Linked DNA regions of Mus musculus: all the other regions are reported to be linked to region 2. Evidence: microRNA targets listed by miRTarBase, many of them from high-throughput screens and not tested one by one. Region 2 holds a microRNA gene; each other region holds the end of a gene's coding sequence.
What was found. The annotated mature microRNA mmu-miR-216b-5p reads AAAUCUCUGCAGGCAAAUGUGA and lies in region 2 at 3,724-3,745, opposite strand. An mRNA with a match to its seed (bases 2 to 7 or 8) in the 3' UTR can be bound and repressed. Matches are read on the target gene's strand: a 7mer-m8 pairs with bases 2 to 8, a 7mer-A1 pairs with bases 2 to 7 and ends in A, and an 8mer does both.

Region 1: the mRNA of Hmgb1 is a reported target of mmu-miR-216b-5p. Seed matches in the 3' UTR shown: 7mer-A1 at 4,617-4,623.
Region 3: miRTarBase lists Cep97 as a target of mmu-miR-216b-5p. Seed matches in the 3' UTR shown: 7mer-m8 at 3,452-3,458, 7mer-A1 at 3,118-3,124 and 7mer-m8 at 1,533-1,539.

Annotation. Positions count from the first base shown.
Region 1 is chr5:149,042,797-149,049,979 of GRCm38, forward strand. Hmgb1 (high mobility group box 1) reads right to left here. Exons shown (of 5, transcript NM_010439.4): 4 at 6,931-7,105; 5 at 3,906-6,117. The coding sequence ends at 5,941. Among named protein-coding and RNA genes, the nearest start is that of Hmgb1, 6.7 kb to the right of the region's middle.
Region 2 is chr11:28,742,748-28,749,948 of GRCm38, reverse strand. Mir216b (microRNA 216b) reads right to left here and starts at 3,758; the gene lies at 3,673-3,758. It overlaps Mir217hg (a long non-coding RNA gene), which reads right to left. Exons shown (of 3, transcript XR_381119.3): 2 at 404-480. Mir216c (microRNA 216c) reads left to right here and starts at 3,683; the gene lies at 3,683-3,751.
Region 3 is chr16:55,899,104-55,906,270 of GRCm38, forward strand. It overlaps Cep97 (centrosomal protein 97), which reads right to left. Exons shown (of 11, transcript NM_028815.4): 11 at 785-6,766. The coding sequence ends at 6,065. Among named protein-coding and RNA genes, the nearest start is that of Nxpe3, 7.4 kb to the left of the region's middle.

The DNA of each region.
Region 1 (7,183 bases), not on the chromosome of region 2:
GGACAACTGGTTTTGTTTGTTGTGACAAGAGTCTCATTGTGCAGACCAGGATGCCTTGAACTAACTCATAGAGATCCTCCTGCCTCTGTCTCCTGAGTGCTGGAACTAAAAGCACGCACCACCATGCCTGGCAAAGTTTTTCAGCAGTTTCTGTGGTGTGCGTAGCCGCCGTCCTTTCTATGATCTTCTGGAAGATTCTGCTGCAGGTGTAACCGCAGTGTTAGCTGTCCCCATATGTCAAATTAAAGAAGCATAGCAGGAAGAGAGAGTCTAGGTGGTGAAGTCGAGGAAGGAGCAGGGAGGGGTGGGGGGGCATATTTCAGGATACTGATACTACAGGCAGCTGTCCTCCAAATCTCCATGGGCCACTGTCTACTACTGTGGAAAAAGGCCCAGGCTAGACTGCAGTTGCCCTATGGCCTCTTTGCATCTAACATGCCATGACCTGGGACTGGTGCTGTGCTGTGCCTTGAAGTTGACCGTGCCCAGATTTGCAGTGATACTGGGTGGCAGTGTTTGGCCTCCAAAGAAAGGACGTTTTTTCCTCTTGTCAAAAGAGGCTATCTAGTCTGTATTTGAGCCATCATGTGCCTAACCTGTTCCCTGTGCCAAAGCCCCACGCAGACAAGTCCTCATGACATATGGTGGAGCCAGTCGGGAAACACACACTGGGTGAACAATAGCAGTGTCTGCTCTATGGAGCCTCCAAGGTCTTGTCCTTCAGGCTCTCTGGGTATACTACACAGCAGTTAAAGGACCCGAGTATCTTTTCCTTACCTTAATACTCTGACATCCAGAAAGTAACTTACGTCTCTTGTTTTTGTTTTTAATGTTCTTGCTTGATGTTTAAACTACTTTTTAAAAGATTTATTTTATTTTTATTTATATGAGTACACTGTAGCTGTCTTCAGACACGCACCAGGAGAGTGCATCCGATCCCATTACAGATGGTTGTGAGCCACCGTGTGGTTGCTGGGAATTGAACTCAGGACCTCTGGAAGAGCAGTCAGTGCTCTTAACTGCTGAGAAGAGGACCTTGGACTATTGAGATGGTTCAGTGACTAAAGGAGCTTGCTACAAAGTCTGGAGACTCAAATTCAATCCTCAGGACCACATGGTGGTAGGAGAGACCTGACTCGCACAAGTTGACCTCTGGTCTGACTGTGTGCCATAGTATGCACACACATGTAATTTTTAAAAAGATGACCTGTCATTGAAACTAGTAACCAAAATAGCCACTAACTAGTGATTCTATAAAAATCTAAGCAACTAAGCCTACCTAATTAAATGCTGCAACTAGGGTTGTGTTTGTAAATGCTCTGGAAGGTTGTTCACTACCCTGAAGTACCACTCTCAGCAAGGAAAATGAAGCACGGTGACCTTTATCCTACCAAAGCCAGACGTATGGTCTGTTCCACCTTCACAAACAAGCACCCTCCGTCCACTGAGGGTAGAATCCAGTCTCAGTTCTATTGTACACCCACCCCACTGCTTTACCCCTACCTCTCCACCACACACCACACACACACACACACACACACACACACACACACACACCCTAACCCTAACCCTAACCCTAACCCTTGCCCACCGCCACCTTTCCAAACCTGTTTGCTGCAGCTTTTGTTAAGACTGAGCCTCCCTCTCCATAGAAACACCAGACACTTCTGTTTAAGATCAAGGACCTAAAACTCGGAAGCTCCTCGGTGCCACACAATGATTTAATACCTAGTGATGGCCAAAACTTGTAGCAAGTTAGCCAGAGCCATTGCAAGTCTTCCAGCTCTGATTCAGCCTGCGTTCCTGATTATGTCTGTAGGGAACTCTAGATAAAAGATTTCGTTTTTTTAAGAAATAAAGGCTCCTGTCCAGTATCATGGCACATGCCTTTAATACCAGCACTTAGGAGGAGTTCCAGGACAGCTAGGAAAGCAAGCCTGTCAAAAAACAAAACAAAAGAAAAAAATAAACAAAACAAAAACACTAAAACCAAACCAAACAAAACTTAAAAAGTTTTTTTTTTCATGGATCCAAAGAACTGATAAAATTCTGTCATAAAGTCCATGTTAAAATGTTGCAGTGTAAGCACACTTTTGGGGGGCAATTTATTGATATCTGCCAAAATGTTGAATCCAACTATCTTTTGACTCAGCAGTCCTCCTTTGAGACATTTACTCTGAATATGTACAAATGCCTGAGAGGAAAAGGCAAACAGTGGGTGTCTCCCAGAAAGGAATCGGACCATGAGACATTAAGACTATGGACGTCCACTTATACGTCTCATTACTACTCAGGACCACCTTGAGGTGCACAGTGAGTTCAAAGCCAGCCTGAACTACATAAGACCCTGGCTCACACAAACAGATGGACAAAACGGAATGGGCAAGTCCAGCTTGGTTGTAAAGAGCCCTTACTGTTCTCTCACAGAACCTGGTTTCAATTCCCACCACCCAGAAGGCAGCTCGTAACTGTTTCAGGAGACCCGAAGTCCTCTTCTGGCTTTCATGGGCACTGCACGCATGTGGTGCATACATACACGTGGGCAAAATACACACAGGCACTTCAGAAAAAAAAAAAAAAGCTAGAAGTGGTGATATGCATCTTTAATCTCAGCACTAGGGAGGCAGAAATATGTGGATCTTTTACCTTTATGAGCCAGCCTGGTTGACATAGTGAGACCTTGTCTCAAAAAATTATTTTAAAATGAAAAAAATTTATATACCATATACCTTTATAAACATCTGTCTGTCCTTCCCCCCTCTTTCCTAAATTTGGTGGTGGGTAGGGGAAACTGGAAACCCAGACTCTAAGCACACACTTCCTGACTATAACCCCAACTCTCTCCTGATGCTCTAGCCCTGGATTCTAGCTCCCAACCCCCGAGATTCTATATTCTATAGCTGCATCACTACGTCATTTTCCACTAATGTCCAGTAGACTCCAGCATTTAGGGTCCAAACCAATTTCCATGCCGCCTGGGATGGTTTCCTCCGGACAGATGGTGTTTCGAGTGTGGTAGACTGTTGTATGTGGTTTGCGTTTTCTGTGCCATCGAGTATCCTGGAATTGCATTACTGGAGCCCAGCAACATTGCCTCTTCACTCAAGGAAGTAACTTGGCTGAACCCCAGGGAATTTCCCGAAATCATTAGCACTGCTGTACTTAGGGATGATGTGGCCACCCAAACGGCTTTCTGTCTTCTACCCAGTATCAAGAGGTATTTCAAGGATCATGGGAATTGATGTAAATGGAAAAACAAGCTTAAGGAACTTGTCACAGTCCCTTATTGATGGACCTAGCCACCAGTCAATGGTTCGCTTAATGGTTTGAACTTATGCTGTGACCGTGCCCAGATTTGCAGTGATACTGGGTGGCAGTGCTTGGCCAAAGAGACTGGTACTTTCTTTCCTGTACAGTTCAATGCACTGCACCAGAGCTATACTTGGTGGCCAATATATATATTGATATAATCATTTCATACCCACTATATATATATATATATATATAGTGGGTATGAAATGATTATCAGAAATAGTGGCATGTGTCACTTTTAAAATACAGAAATCCTACCAGGAATGGTGACACATACCAATCATCACAGCACTTGGGAAGTGGAGGCAGGAACCAACCTTCTGCTACATAGTGAGCCCAGGCAAGACCTACATTAAAACCTAATACTAAAATCTGTAAATTTCAGCCCTAAGAGTCAATACACATAGTTCCAAGGGATACAGCTTAGATGCTGAACAGAACTCCTTCTCAAATTTAAAGAGGTTTTTTTTTGTTGTTCCATTTCTTGAAGTCAGGATCTGAAGCTGGTTAAGCAAGGCAAACTGTTCCCATTCTTAACATCTTTAAAAGGGTAGCTGTCGCGACACACCCACTAAAGTTACAAAGACGTTTCCTTGAGGCAGAGTTCACTTTTAAATGGATCACTTACTAACAACAGATGTCCACAATGGTAGTTCTAAAGCAACAGTACAAGTTTCCAAGCCAGTCACTTGTTCTTAAGTTGGTAATCGAGACCATTACGGCCTGCGGAGGTCCTCTACAGGCTTAAGAACACACGTGCAATCTTTAAGACCAACCTCGCTTTTCACTTAACATTCAGATTATGGCTCCTCATATGTATAGATTAGGGATGCTCGATAAAAAAACCTGTTTTTACTGCCCTCTAGCCTATTTAACATTTTAAAACTGTGTTCATGAATGGAGGGAGCATTTGGTCAAAGCATTTTGGAAGCTGGTTCCCTCCTTTTGCCATCGGTTGTCAGGGTTGGCAGCCAACTGCCTTTTTACCCACTATCTCACTGGCCCCAGCATCAAGGGTTGTTAATGGGAAAGAGCCTTTCAGTTGTTTATACTATAAGGCACTATTATAAAGTGTGACCAAAAGCTTAAATTCTTAAGTGAAAGTCATTTAACTAATATTTAAAACCTCTGTAATTATTAGTTTATTAGTATCATCCAGGACTCATGTTCAGTATTCCTCCTCAAATTACATTAACAACGCAAATGTAAAGAACCCAAGTCAAAATTATATAACAGCACTCCATCACAAAAGCGCGTGAAATTACAAGAACGCTATTTAAAACACTGGCACTTTAAGAGAACGATAATCTCAAAAAAAAATCCACAAAATTGCCAAATTGTTCCCTAAACTAAGCAGATTAAACCTGATTAATGAATGAGTTTGGGTTTTATAAAGAAAAAGCAAATGTATTGGACAAATGGTACTAATATGCAAAGTTTATCCTCTTGTATCTGATTCATAAAGGGACAAACCACAGTATAGGAAAATATACCCTTCATTTTAAATGTGGCATAATTTTAAAAGCTGGCTCAAGTAATTAAAAATACCTTTAAACAGTCAAGTTTCCTGAGCAATCCATATCTAGATAGAAGGGCAAAGGCTTTACAGCCAGCGTTCTTGTGATAGCCTTCGCTGGGACTAAGGTCAACAAATAGTACAGCAGTCTTGTATTTTAAGCTCACACTTTTGGGGATACATTCTCAGGTCTTCTTTAGTAGGGGAAACTGCAAAATATAACTGTCATTACACAGTAATGGCGGTTAAAGGAGAGTCCTCGTGTAAGGATTAGAAGGTACTTTTCTATCAGTCCTTCAAGGACAGACGTTCAGATTGCTTGATCCTAATAGTCCCACGGTGTGACAGTATTGATCACTCCTTGCTTTGCCAAGTAGGTTATATAATATCTCTTATCCAACTATCACGATTTAGGAGATTCTTCAACTATGGATGAAAATGTTACCCTACCACAATGGCAGGGCATGTGGACAAAAGCTCTCTTCCAGCTAACTAGATGAAAGATAACACACTAATAATCCATGTGACCCAAAATGGGCAAAGCAAAAGACTAGCTTCCCCTTGAGAAGAAAACTTTCAGACCTATGAAAAGGACAACAATACTAATAAAAAAAATTGTATTTACTTAGAAGCATTCAGAATGTCAACAAAACAGCCGCAATTTTTTTTTTGCAATTACAGAGTGGTATTCAGTTAACAGAACAACAATTATCTTCGTATAAGCTGCATCAGAGACAACTGAAGATGAAAAAAATAAAACCCAAAAAGAAAACCAAAAGAAAAAAAAAAAAAAACAAAAAACCAAACTACTGTCCCCATATATAACTAATTTGTGCTGTGCACCAACAAGAACCTGCTTTAAATTTCCATGCCAATTTACAACCCCCAGACTGTACCAGGCAAGGTTAGTGGCTATTGAAAATACCACCAGGACAGGGCTATCTAAAGACACATTCGGTAGTGTGTTAACTATACAAAAAAAGACACTGTACAGTTTAAAAACAAATCTTACACAGCCTTACATTTCAATTTTTTTCTTTAAAAGGAGTGAGTTGTGTACAGGGGGGTTAAATGCTTTATAGACAAGAAAAAAAAACTGCGCTAGAACCAACTTATTCATCATCATCATCTTCTTCTTCATCTTCGTCTTCCTCTTCTTCCTCCTCTTCCTCATCCTCTTCATCCTCCTCATCATCTTCCTCTTCCTTCTTTTTCTTGCTCTTTTCAGCCTTGACCACCCCCTTTTTCGCTGCATCAGGTTTTCCTTTAGCTCTGTAGGCAGCAATATCCTTCCAAAACAAGGAGAGGAGAATGAAACAAAGACAAAAAATAAAACTTCACAAAGTCTCCACAACACACAGGCCCATTGTACCTTCCCAAATAATTAGACCAAGGGAAAAGGCAACATAAAAATGAACAATTTGCAATCTACAACTCATGAAATGTCAGACTAATATTTGTGTTGTTATGCCTCACTGAAGTGCAATTATATACCACATCCTAATTCTAGTTTATGAGGACTAGAAGGCAGACTGATCAAAGAGTAATACTGCCACCTTCTGAACACAAAACAGCATTCTACAGGTTCACAGCCAGAGTTTAATCCACAGAAGAAAACTGGGGGGAGGTTGGGGGTGTGTATCTAAAAAAATAGACATTTTCAGAAAAAATTACCTCAACAAAAATTAGCTTTTAGGTATTTTAATTTATGTATACGAATTACAATTTTCCTCCATTCTAATGACAGTTACCTTGGCAAGCTTAAAGTTTAAGCAATTTTATTTTAATCCAAAGTGAACATATAATAATTTGCACATAGGCAGTACAGTTACTTTGCCCAATCTATTTTTGTAGTGTATGCACATAACCATTTAGAAACCATTCTCACCAAAAGTAGCTACAAATTTCCCCCAAATTTGGATACATACTAAGAAATACAACTAAAACAGCTTAAAGGCCTTAGCTCAAATCAGATTATAGGAAAACTGAACACACTATTGGCCGTTCCTGTATGAAAACAACGAAGCCTGCAAACAAAGAGGAAATAAGACGAGTTATCAAGTATAATCCCCTAACACTGGGTATCCTGTCATCCTCCTTACCTTCTCATACTTCTCCTTCAGCTTGGCAGCTTTCTTCTCATAGGGCTGCTTGTCATCTGCTGCAGTGTTGTTCCACATCTCTCCTAGTTTCTTTGCAACATCACCAATGGATAAGCCAGGATGCTCGCCTTTGATTTTGGGGCGGTACTCAGAACAGAACAAGAAGAAGGCCGAACTAAAACCAGAAATGTACTTTTAGGATTTTAACAAACTAAACACTCAACTCTGTACTGCTCTGCAGTGTTTAAGTAAT
Region 2 (7,201 bases):
CAATTCAAGCAATTATAGGAACATGTCAAACAGTACAAAGGACACTGACACAGAGTTTTGGGTAAGTACTGCATGACTTTGGGCTACTTTCCCTTTGAGCCTTAACAGTCAAAACACATTAATATAAGAGAGGATTTATTTAACCTGTAGAAAGTTCAGTTTTCTCATCTGCATAATGGAACCTTTAATAGTCAAGCTTCAGATAAAGTTATTGCAAGGACCAAAGGGGCTGTCTATGTAGCATCCATCATTATCAACACTCTACAAATAATTCTAAGTAAAGTAGCCACTCTCTTCCTTTACAGATCTGAATGCTAGGGTTCTGAGAAATACTTAAATTAGATGTTAATTACAACCCCTGGCATCCCTTGGAAGAAGAGGAGGAAAGCTCTTATGGATTTACCTGGCACAGCTCTTCTGGAAAAGCTGTGTGTCCTAAGGTCTTCTTGGGATCACCAGGGCTCAGACTAGGAACAGGACCTGGAGAAGGTGATAAGGAAAGAGGAAAGGGTGTTTAGGATGCACTGAAGGAGACTGACTGAACCTCCCATTGGCATCCTCTCCTTTGAAGTTTCACTTGTATGGATGCAATCTTGGAGGACTAGAAATAGAGTCTAGGCCATGACTGGACTGTGCAGTTCACCCCAAACACAAAAGCAACATTCTACATTTTTTTTTTTTGACAAGAGCTTTCTCCAGCAATGGGACACAAATATGATGACATTTAGTCCAGATTTTCTAAGCCATAGTTTCATGCTTGTTCTTCTGTACTACATTTTTTTTTCTAAAATGCCAAGCTGTAAACACTTACATAACTTCCTCTTCCCAATATAGAACCTTTCTGAACTTCATTTTCTTCATAAATTATGACTCTTTTAGAAATTAATTTATTTGCTATTTATGTATATGTGTATCTATATATGTATATATATAGATACATACATGTATATAGACACACACACATGAATGTTTTGTATGTATGTATGTATGCCTGTGCACCACATAGATGGTTAGTGCCTACAGATGCTAGAAAAGGATGCAGGGTAGCCTCTGATTGGAGTTACCAGTGGTTGAAAGCCATCATCTGTGTGCTGTGCTAGGCATTGGACTTAGGTCATCCAGAAGAGCAACAAGTGTTCTATACTGCTGACCCACATCTTCAACCTCTAAGTAAGACTCTTGGTTTTGTTTGTTTGTTTTGAGACAGGGTTTCTCTGTATAGGTCTGGCTGTCCTGGAACTCACTCTGTATACCAGGATGGCCTCAAACTCAGAAATATGCCTGCCTCTGCCTCCCGAGTGCTGGGATTGAAGGCACGTGCCACCACTGCCTAGCCTAAGTAGGATTCTTAGTACTTTTATTGTGTTTGTGAGAAAACAAAGGCAGATCACATGCATGGCATGCTCCATGCAGTAGTATCTATTGGATATTCATGTCCATATTGTAACAGTATGCTAGATTCCTAGTATTGCTCTACTATTGTTGTTGTTTCTCCAGTAGAATCCCATGTTTTGAAAGATTTTGCCCATCAATTGCATACATTTGTTAACCCTTGCTCTTTTTTTTTAAACCATTATCAAATGCCAGCTGGAATTGTAGCAACTGCAGAAAGGTTGAGTCAATTTGTGAAAGTCAAAAAGTCTGGTGGCTAGATAACCACTCTATTTTTATCAAAGTGAAAGTTCTCAGGGAGGAGGCACAGTGTTCTTTAAAACACCTTGCTGACCTCCCACACTATTTGTAGAGTCCATGAAGAGCTGAACTCTCAATTTTCAGTGAATGAGCCAAACCTCACTATTATGATCTGAGTAAATTGATGCTTTGTGTGTGATCTAATTCAAGTTTTGGTTGTTACATTTTCCATTGCATCATGGGAAATTGCTGTGGTCCAGAAATAATCAAAATCAATTGGTTAAGAGTTAAATGGAAGATGAATTCCTAACAAACTACTAGGGGTTACTGGTTATCAGGCATACCAATTGTTTATATGTTGTTTTGAAGTATAATACGAAAATTATGAAATTTACTCATTGTCAGAGGCCAAGTGCAATTGTAATTTACCCTTCAGCCATGCAGTTTTATAGTATTAAACACAAAGGAAATAGGTAAAAGTTTTCTTAGTAGATCATTTATTGCCAAATTTAACTCTTAATAGGGCAAAACTACAAAGAACATTGAAAAAGATAGTCATGTAGTCATCATTTATTTTGCCAAGATATGTTTCATAGAGAATAAGTCTTAAGTCTTCCTAATATTATTGAGCCAGGCTGAAATAATTTCATTGTAAAATCATTTTTCTTCTCTGTGTGCAGGCTAAGTGCATATTTTGTGACCTTAGAAATAACTTTCCAAAGCTGTGTGAAGAATGTAGCAATGCAATCTAATAAGAATTATGGCTCACAACTTGAATGATGTCAGTATCCTTTTACTCCTCCCAGACTAAAACGTTCTCTACTTCTGAATAGATTTCTTAACTCTTTATTTCTAAGGAGAGTTTTGTAATCTCAGTGGCAAAGAGTTGAAGATGAAACTTCCTCCAATCAATGATCATGTGTATTATCAAGACTATCATTTTACAAAAGTCATTCATTCTTGACAGTAATTTTTTATTGGACATTTTCTTTATTTAAATTTCAAATGTTATCTCCTTTTCTGGTTCCCCATCCCTCGAAATCCTCTGCTACATATGCGGCTGGAGCCAAGAGTCTCTGCATGTATATTCTTTGGTTGGTGGTTTAGTCCCTGGGAGCTCTGGGGGGTCTGGTTGGTTGATATTGCTGTTCTTCCTATGGGTTGCAAATCCCTTCAGCTCCTTTAGTCCTTCCCCTAACTCCTCCATTGTGGACCCCGTGCTCAGTCCAATAGTTGTGAATATATATTATTTTGTCAATCTTTGTTGTCCATTTGATGACAACTTAGACATATCTGGGAAGAGGGAGTCTCCATGGAGGAATCACTTCCACCTGATCGACCTTTAGGTGTGTTGGGGCATTTTCTTGATTGATGTTTGATGTGGGAGGTCCCAGCCCACTGTGGGCAGTCTCTCCTTCAGATGGGTAGATAGTAATAGGAAGTAAAAGGTAGCTAAATGTGAACCTGGGAACAAGCCAGTAAGCAGAGTCCCTTCATGGGCTCTGCTGTGGGCTTTCCTCAGTGATGGACTGTGAGCAGGATCTATATGCCAAATAAACTCTTTCCTCCCCCAAGCTGCTTTTGATCTGTGCTTTATCACAGCAACAGAAGCCTGAGTAGGACACTTTTTGTATTTTGTTTAGTTTGAGATGATTATTTTGAGTTCAGTTTTTTGACTGTGATCTTTTGTTTTCTTTTGGTCAGTGGTTACAAAGTGGAAGATCAGTCAGCATTACCTGGGCGAAAATTGCTAGAGCCAATTGGAGGTCCTGATGTGGGTGTTCCCATTTCTAACTGGATTTCGAGTGATGCCAACAATGGTTAGGTCACATCCTCATTGTCACTTCCCTAAGCCATGTTGCAAATTAACCTTACAACTTAATTTGGTGAGAATGAACCATCATCAGACATGCAGTCCTCTCAGATGAAGCCAAGGTTTAATGGACAAGCCTTCATTCGGTTATTTCACTAGACTTTGTACATGTCAGAGCAGAGAATATAGAAAAATCATTGCTTGATAAAGGGGTTTGATGCTTGATGTTGTCAGACTGAAGAATCTCTACAGGTAAGTGTGTGGTTTCTTCAGTGACATCACATTTGCCTGCAGAGATTTCCCAGTCTGCCAATGTGCAATTACATCTAAGATGTAAAACCATTTTTCACTCTACAATGGTCTTTCTAGTCTTGCTAAACTCTAAAATTATTATGTTTCAGAAATTATATTTATGAAACATATATTATTCATTTCATAAAATATTTATGAAAGATTGACATTAGGTAGGAAGTAAGGACTATAGATAGGATTCAAACACAAGAGCAAGAAAAAAGGCATTACGTTCTTCTGAAGGCTAAGGTAACAGGTAAATACCAGCTCTCTCACCTATAATGATGCTTGACCACACTGCAAACTTCACAGTCCTGGAGTTTCTTGAATGCCAGGCGATCTGTGTGCTAGAACTTGCATTTCTGTTTCTGCACAGCTTTTTAAACTTATAGATATATCTAAAAAGCACAAGGAGAGTGCACTAGGAGCTGTACTTGTCACCTTCATTTTCCCCATGTGTCTTTTATTACTTAGTAGCTGTCTAATCATCATAGATTAATCACATCATCTACGGCTAATTTTTAAAGCAACAAAATAATATGCAGTATTTACTATATGAGAACAGCACAATTTGTGATGATCACAATATCAACTCTGCAATGCTGATAGTTATTGCTCATGGAACTGTTTTCCATCTATTAACTATACAGCCATTTCACTATTTTAACAGAACAGAAAATTGAAATATTTTATTTCCTACTGTATCCCAGGCATATAGAAAGTGTTTGTACTGACTAGTTTTGTGTCAACCTGACACAGCTGGAGTTATCACAGAGAAAGGAGCTTCAGTTGAGGAAATGCCTCCATGAGATCCAACTGTAAGGCATTTTCTCAATTAGAGATCAAGGGGAAAAGGCTCCTTGTGGGTGGGACCATCTCTGGGCTGGTAGTATTGATTCTATAAGAGAGCAGGCTGAGCAAGCCAGGGGAAGCAAGCCAGTAAGGAACATCCCTCCATGGCTTCTGCATCAGCTCCTGCTTTCTGACCTGCTTGAGTTCCAGTCCTGACTTCCTTTGGTGATGAACAGCAGTATGGAATTGTAAGCCAAATAAACCCTTTCCTCCCCAACTGCTTCTTGGTCATGAATTTTGTGCAGGAATAGAAACCCTGACTAAGACAGTGTTAAATCAGCACCTACTACTTACAGTCCATTGATTTACTAAAGTCCTTTATTTCAAATGTCTACTATTAAAGAGGCATATATGTATGTGTATATATATATTCACATTTTATTGATATCAGAGTAAACACACTTAAATTCAGACAAGATAAGTAAAAAATAGAAATATATAAATGTTTTATGTATTTAGTCTTGTGCTATAATAGAGAATTTGAGTGATATTTGGTTTAGAGGCAAAAAGTCATGGTGAGTGCTTTCTCTGTAACTCCTGGACCCCACTGATCTTTTTACCATCTCCACAGTTCTTGCCTTTCCTCAGTCTTATTGTTGGAATCATATGGTAGTATATCGTCTTTTTCAGATTGACTTCTTTACTTAACAATAATATATACTTAGATTCTTCCATGTCCTCGCAGGTTTGTAATTAACCAATAATCATTCCTTCATTTGGATGTGCCAGCGATTATTCCTTTCCTAAAAGGCATCTTTATTGTGTGCCAATTTTGTGATTATGTCTAGGGAGTATGAACAATTGAGCTTGAGTTTCTGTGTGACCACATTGCCACCTCCTCTGGCTAATATCAGAGCCTGACTTATGAGTTCTGTAGTGACTCTATATATAACATTGAAAGACCCTGGCATATTCTCTTATAAGTAGTATTTTGCCTTCCAACTAGCAGTGAATGAGGTATCCTATTGTTCCAAATCCTTGGGAGCATTTGGTGTTGTCAGTGCTCTGGTCATTCCAATAGAAGTACCGTATACCTTTGTTTAATTTACAAGTCCTGGTGACATATAATGTTGAATATCTTTCAAATGCTGCTTCACACAGTTTTCTCCCCCTCCACACCGCGCCCCCCCCCCTGCCCGGCTTTTTGAGACAGGGTTTTTCTACGTAATCCTGAATGTTCTGAAATTCACTCTATTGACAAGGCTCACCTCAAACTCAGAGATCCACCTGCTTCTGCCCCCTCCTCCCTCACCCCTCGACACTGAGTGCTGGGATTGAAGGCACTACCACCATCCAATTTACATATCTTCATTAATAAAATGCTGGTTCAGGTTTTCCTTTCAGCATTTTAGTAGGGGTCATTTTCTCACTGTGTTTTAAGAGTTCTTTGTGTATTTGTGGGTAATATTGCTCTATGATGTAAATATTTAAAATTTTTCTTTTAGACTGTATCTTGCCTTCTCAGTCTCTTACATATAGAAGAGCAGAGTTTTACATTTTTAATAAAGTCATGTTTGTCATTTCTTTCAGGGATCTTGCTTTTGGTGCTAGATCTGAAAAGAAGGTCATCTAGGTTTTATGTTGTTTTCCTCTGGCAATTTTACAGTTTTTCATTATATATTTGGTTTAGAAAGTATTTTGAATTAACTCTTGGTTCTTATGAAGATTGAAAGATCCATGTCTAGGCTCACATTTTTATACATACATACATATCTAATATTTTAGCACAATTTTTGAAAAGACAAGAATTTCTCCACTGTATTCTTGATATCCCTGAGACCAGTCTACACAGGAGAGCACATGGGTGGCAGAAGCAACAGAGCTTCTTGAACAGGGTCCCTTTGGCCTTCATCCCCAGTCAGGAGGCAGAGCTGAGACGCAGATGGGTATAGTGCAGAATTCTATCAGACCTTCATAGAAGAACTAATTCCAGTTCTTCTCAAACTATTCCACAAAATAGAAGCAGAAGGTACACTACCCAATACATTCTATGAAGCCACAATTACTCTGATACCTAAACCACATAAAGATCCAACAAAGAGAACTTCACACCAATTACCCTTATGAATATCTATGTGAAAATACTCAGTAAAATCCTCACAAACCGAATCTAAGAACACATCAAAACGATCATCCATCATGACCAAGAAGGCTTCATCCCAGGGATGCAGGGATAGTTTAATATATGGAAATCCATCAACGTAATCCACTATGTAAACAAACTCAAATCAAAAATCACAAAATCATCTTGTCAGATGCTGAGAAAGCTTTTGACAAAATCAAACACTCCTTCATGATAAAAGTCATGGAAAGATCAGGAATTCAAGGCCCATGCCTAAACATAATAAAAGCAATATACAGCAAACCAGTAGCCAATATCAAACTAAATGGAGAGAAACTTGAAGCAATTCCACTAAAATCAGTTACTAGACAAGGCTGCCCACTTTTTCCCTACCTATTCAATATAGTACTTGAAATCCTAGCCAGAGCAGTTCAACAACAAAAGGAGATAAAGGGAATACAAATTGGAAAGGAAGAAGCCAAAATATCACTATTTGCTGGTGATATGATAGTATATATAAGTGACCCTAAAAATTCCACTGGAGAACTCCT
Region 3 (7,167 bases), not on the chromosome of region 2:
CATATGCTGGGCACAGGAAAGATCAAGGATCACCAGCCAGAGGACATCCATTCGTGAGTACGAAGGGCAGGCACCTTCAGAGGCTAAGGCATGACTTAATACACCTTCAACATACCTGTGCCTTTATTCTCAGCTAAAACTTCTTGGTCCTCAGCTGGCAAGATGGCTCAGTGGTTACGAGCACTTGCTCTAGAAGAGGACCTGGGGTGAGTTTCCAGCACCCCCACACGTGGTGTTTCACACTATTGGTAACTCCAGTACTCTCTTCTGGTCTCCATAAGCATACACATGTGATGCGCAGACTCACATGCAAACTAAACACCCATTCTTTTCTTTTTCTTTTTTTTTTTTTTTTTTTTTTTTTTTTTTTTTTTGGTTTTTCAAGACAGGGTTTCTCTGTATCCCTGGCTGTACTGGAACTCACTCTGTACTCTGTAGACCAGGCTGGCCTCGAACTCAGAAATCCGTCTGCCTCTGCCTCCGGAGTGCTGGGATTAAAGTCGTGCGCCACCACGCCCAGCTAGGAATCTACTTCTTAGCTGAGCATGCTTCTAAATGAACTCACCCTCAAAGGACTACGTAAGAGGTGCCTGGGATAAACTCCCAGTGCTTCTTTTGTGGAGAAAGGACAATGCTTTGGCAAGGAGTCTCATGCTTTCTATATACGATGTCAACACTCTAAATTTTCTGAAGTAAAATTGTTCTAAACTTTATCTACCAATTAACTGTGAGCACAATGAGTAATAACTTCGGCTAATCACTGAAATAACCAGATATCACACCTAAATGTATAAAGCTTTTATTTCAAATTAGACAGACTCAAATACAAATGAAGAGCACAATATAAAATAGAAAAGCCTTCATAAAACAGACTTCAGCCACCTTAAGTCTTACTGTTTGTACCAACATTGAAAAAAAATCAAGAAATGGTGCAAAATCAAATTATCTTTAAACTCTTCTTGCCGACACTAATGATAATCTGGAACACGGGGCTGCAATGTTGTAAAGTGGTACCGTGCTTTGTCTAGCATGCTAGCACCACACACACAAATATTACAAAACATCCAAAGAAATGTACTGACAAGGCCACTCTAAGGAGCAATCCCCTCTATCCACTAAAATTAATGAAAAGAATTAAAGTCCAGTGTGATTCCACCCATTAACAATAAGAAGCGCCTCGGCCTAGAAAGATGGGGGTCAGTTTCTCTCCAGGACTATGAGGCCCACCTTGTTTACATGACGCTTAACTGTAATATGGCACAATAGACTTTATCACCAAAATTCTCAATTTAAATGTTTCTGTGCCTATAGTCCCAACTACTCTGGAGGTTGAGGCAAGAGGATCATTTGGGGCCAGGAGTTCAAGACCAACCCTAGACAACATAATGAGACCCTCACCTCAAAAAAAGAAAAAAAAAATTGAAAATGTTCCTTACAAACTACTTCTGCTTCACTTCAAGAACAAGGGCGCCACGGCTGGGCACGGTAGTGCATGCCTTTAATCCCAGCACTTGGGAGGAAGAGGCAAACACAATCTCTGAGTTCTAGGCCAGCCTGGTCTACAGAGTGAGTTCCAGGACAACCAGGGCTTTTTAGACAGACCCTGTCTCAAAAAAATAAAAGTACTATGTATTTAAAGTTAAAAACATAACTACAATAAACTTCTTTTAACACAGATGTGGCAAAATAAGAATATACATTAATCCCAGCACTTGGGAGTCAGAGGCAAGCAGATTTCTGAGTTCGAGGCCAGCCTGGTCTACAAAGTGAGTTCCAGGACAGCCAGGACTATACAGAGAAACCCTGTCTCGAAAAAAAGAAAAACAAAACAAAACAAAGAATATACATTAAACAACCGTGTAACTGAGCCTCGTATTTCTTTATGAATGGAAACTAATCCAATGACTGCTTTCCCCTTCCCACTTCAGGAAAAATATATATTATTATTATAAATCCAATCTTAATATTTTACATAAAAAAATTACCAAGAGAGATAGTATAATATTTAAAGCTGTATATTCCTGAAAGCATTTATGAAAAGTAGAAGACTTGCCATAAATAGATAACAGAAAAGTTATGATGCTTGTGTTTTGAAAATAACCTAAACTAAACCCAGGGAAAACATACAGTCAAGAACAGCACCATATAATCAAAGAACAGAGTTATTTACAAATAAACAACCATGTGGCCAAACATTTTCTAAAACATGCATACTATAGTGTCCTATATAGTTAGACGTATAAGGGCAAACTATTTGAATATTATCAGCTGTCATGATTAGATCTTTCTCACACCAGGAGTGTAAAATTCTTACCATCTGTTGCTCTATAAAAGGCAACATGAAGCATCAAATTCAGTATTTCTTGAGAAAATTTTATCTGCTTTGGTAATCTATAAGATTAGCTGTCATCAAATAAATGATTAAGATACAGTGATTCTTTCCTAAAATTTTAACTTTACTATTGCTGTTGGTGGCCCAGGTTAGCCTGAATCTCACTATGTAGCTGAAGGTGGCCCTGAACTCTCAGATCCTCCTGCCTCGGCATCCCAAGTGCTGTGATTACAAGTGTGTATCGCTGCTGGGCTGTGATGCTGCATGCCTTTAATTCGAGCACTCGTTAGGCAAAGGCAGGAGGATCTCTGAGTTAGAGGCTAGCCTGGTCTACAGAGCCACGTCTCAAAAAACAAAAAACAAACAAAAAAACGAAGTGTGCACTGCCATTTCCGGCTGCTATTATTGCTTCATACAAACAACTTTAAGAAAGTCCCATTTGGTTTTTTTGGAGAACATTCATTCAAGGTTCTGAAAGATTTAGCTGTTTGCTACAACTCTGCCATTAAAGGGCCTCTCTTAAAAGCTGTTTTTCCTGTTTAAAATGCAGCAACTTACTCATTCCTGTAAAGATGGACAGAGAAGGTTATGGAAAGCTTGAAATACACGAACATGTTTCCAGTTTACTGCTGGCTACCGCAACCTTACACAGGCTGGTTATCATCCCTGGGTTGCTGTTTCCTCTGCACAATGAAACAGTCAGTCGCTGCCATAAGGCCAGCATCTCTTTTACATTGTACAATAATAATAGCGATAATAATAACAACAATAGTAATGGCAACAGATAATCTCAAGATTCCTTCTGATTTTCACAGGGTATGACGAGTTTTTTTTTTTTTTTTTTTTTTTTTTTTTTGCGGGGGGGTGGTGGTAGGAGGCTTGTGGGCGTTTTGTTTGGTTTCGTTTCGTTTTTTGAAACAGGGTTTCTCTGTGTAGACCAGGCTGGTCTCAAACTCAGAGATCTGCCTGTATCTGCCTCGTCGCACAGGCTGAGACTAAAGGCATGTGCCAGTCTTGCCTGCCTATGTGGTACAAGTTTATGCCTCTGCAGTAACTCGAAGTGACAAGTCCTCCATAATGCGAGAATGTATCTGAGCCAAAGCAGCACAGCTGAACAAAAATCTCTTATCAAAAAAAGCCAAGTTCAAAGTTCAACTCCCCAGACTCCCTAGTCTGTTCCCTTCCCAGCCAGACTAATAAATAATCCAGAGTCACATAAATTACTATCCCTTAGTTACCTTTAAATTCTATAAACCAATAAAAATACGTTAGGTCTCTGTCTTAGTTTTCCTACATTCTGGCATATTGCATTTTCACCTATAGTCAAGATTCTCTGCAGCTCGAAGCAGGCGACTTCACATTCCCATACTTCTAAACTGAGATAAAATAAGAGAGAGGTAGAGCAGAATATGAGCAATTAGCATATTCTGCCAAGTTTTTCACAAAAAAAATATGTTGAATGCCATTTTCAGACTAGAAAACCAGACAAAAGAACAATAAGTTCTGCTGACAGTGTCTATCAGATGAAATGGCTAGATCTGACTAGATTCCATGACTTAAGAAAAGGAAAAAGCAACTACCAGAACGGCGCTCTGGGACGCTCAACCGTAGCGCTGGAGCCACTTTTCTGAAATTAATGTGCCGTGAAACAGTTTTGGTGCTACCTCAGTGAGATGTTTTTCTTTACCTGTGGGCAGCAAATGAGGCACTTAACTGTAAAAATAGAAAAATAAGAAAAATTCTTATTGCCTATTGAAAAAGGAATAAAAAAGGTAGGGTTGAGGGACGGTTTACAAACACCTGTCAGCTCCAGGTTCAAGGGAGCTGACACCCACCTCTGGCTTCCTCCAGCAGGCACACACACATACATAAATACTCTCCCTTGCACATATACACACACAAATTCTCACACACAAACACACACACTCTCTCTTTCACACACACAAGCTCTCACATACACATACAAGTTCTCACACATACACAGCACACACATATATACTCTCTCACACATACACACATATTCTCATACACTCAGACAGACACTATCACACACACAAACACACGCATACAAATTAAGTATTTTAAAAGAAATGCAAAATTATAAAAGGTAATTATTATTCAGAGTTAACTTTTCAGTTTTAATCAATCAAGCATTCAATAGTACACATCTATACTAGAGGAAATAGTTTGAACTCAAGACTTGTTCTGTTTATAAAACCCAGAAAACATGTCCTTGTCAAAGGACTCTGGATTTCTGAGAATGAAATGCAAGCCTTCTCAACCTGAGTACTATGTGTTTATGAATTCAGCTCGCCATAAGGTAGAGCTGTTCCTCTCAGCAAGTACCACATGGTCCTCAACTCTATTCTGGAAGGACCAGAACTTTTGTTTTTATATACTTTCAATTAAAGGGCTCTAATGGCTTTAATAGAATAATGGATGATATTAGCACCTACTTTTAACCAGGTTGTCCTTGAACTCATGGGAGCTGCCTGTTTCTGCTTCCCAAGCACTGGGATTAAAGGCATGCGCCACCAAGCCCAGCTGGATTTATCTTTTCTTAGTCACCAGTACATTGTCCTTCGAATATGGCACTTTTCAGAGATTAGATAAAAAAAATTCTTCAGGAAAAAAACAACATTTGCAGTCTATCAGGATTTTAAACGTTCTTCACTAAGGGACAAAGGTCACGAGTGAAATAAGGACTGAGACACAGCTCCATGGGGCATGCACAGGGCTGTAACTCCTGTGGTCCACAGACACACACACACACACTGTGAAGTGTAGCTTTGGCTCTTCTGGTGAAGTATATATAGAAATAAAAGCAAGACCATAATGATGAATACATATTGATTTCTTACGATCTACTTCTTCCCCAAAGTATTGGCACATAAATGTCAACAGCCTAAAAGAGTACATAATGAAAAGAGGCATTTGAACAGCATGGTTCCAAGTGACTAACTCTATGTCTCCTTTCTCCATAGCAAAGAGAAAGATACTTGCCCGAGCAAGCTTGATTTTAATCCTGATGGAATACCTTACTTCAAAACTGATCCACAAATTAGCTAATGTTTGTCATGAGGCAATTTAATCACCCACTTAAAAGTCTTACGATCTGGGAGTTAGGTGAGCAGCTCAATGGCCGGGCACATGCTGACCATTCTCCAGGCTCAGACTTTTAAATGCCAGCACGCACACATAAGGCACGCGCGCGCACACACACACACACACACACACACACACACACACACTAAACCTTATTCTCCCTAAGTGTTCTTATACAAGAAGGCTTTCCTTAACACAAAGGGTGGAAAGCCACAGTTTTAGGCCAAGGAGACTGCCTGGGAAATTTCACTTTTCCATAGTCCTCACCCTAGCCGTGCCTTACATATTCCATCCCTTACCATGTGACTAACAAGAGCCAAGTTCTCCTACTTAAATCACCAAAACTACTGCAAGGAACTGTTCCTGAAAGGCAGTACGGATGTAAAGGAAACATTATTGGTGTAATTATTAAGAAATAAAGTGCATATGCCTTTTAATATCAATATTGTTTAGTACAGTAGTACAATGAAAATGAAGACGTAGTTCAGTAGCTAATATCTAAAAAGTGTGGGACAAGGAAACAAGTTGTATATAAATAATAACAAAATGGGGGAAAGGGTTGCTCCCCTGCAAAAGAGACACTTGAAAACATAAGAAAATCGAATTGAATTTCTGCTCCCCAGTAAATCAGACAGGCTGCACAGTGACACCCACATGCAACCCCTGAAAGGCAGGGTCACACTCCGGAGGCTGCCCTTGGGCTTCTTCGTTTAACTGACAATTCTCTGGCGTCTGGCTAATTTCATCCTGTGAAGTAGAGGCCACTCTATGAGTCTCACTGTCAGAGGAGGCGTCAAACCTTTCCGGAGAACAAGCGAGGTGACGCTTACCGTCTCCTGCCACATCGTCAGAATCGGCCGCCTCTGCGGCATCGTCCAGCTGCTGGACGGAGGTTAAATACTGTTGGAGCAGAGTGTTGTCCTGCTCACTGGCTGAGCTCTCCCTACTGCAGTCACTGTGCTCCTCGGCTGTGGCCTCCGAGTCTCGGTCTTTGACGCATTTCACCGTGTCAGCGGAATTCCCCAACACGGAGTTTTCGCTGCTTTCTACCGAACTCTTTTCAAAATCCAACGAATCCTGCAGACAGGGAACTTGCTCTGTCAGGGAGGAGTGAAACCCAGAGTCGGGAAAGTCTGGCGCTGATCTCCCTTGCGCAGCTTCGTCCTCAGCAACGAGCCAGTCCGAACTCTGATCCGAAGAGGGGTCCTGATGATGTGGAAATAACGGGGGCTTGGGTGACGCCAGAGTACTTGATATAGGAGGCACGTCGGGCGGCCAGGAAGCCAGACGCTGTTCCACTGTCTGCTGCCAAGCTTGTACAGATCTTACCTGGAAACCAGGACACACAGTTTTAGTAGAAAGTAAACAGCCTGTCTTTTTTAAATGTCCAGAGCTTTTCCCCCACAGAAGTCCTGCAGTTGCCTGCATTCATTACCCGTCTAATCCCTTCACAGGGCTGACCCCAGCCTAACTGGGCAGGCACAGTGTTTTATGTCCTTGGCAGCAAAGCGTAACCCCCAGCACGAGAGGAAGGCCATAGCAGTTCTCCTGCTTCACGGGAGAAATACGACAGCATCTTTCTCACTAACGGATCGATAATGTGCAAAATATAGACAACATCTAGTCGATAAGGGCCGATTAGCACCTCTGAGTCTAAGTGCATCTTCTAAAATGAGTCTATTTTAGATATAGATGCAGACATGGGGTTTCCAGTTATTTTAAAATGTAGT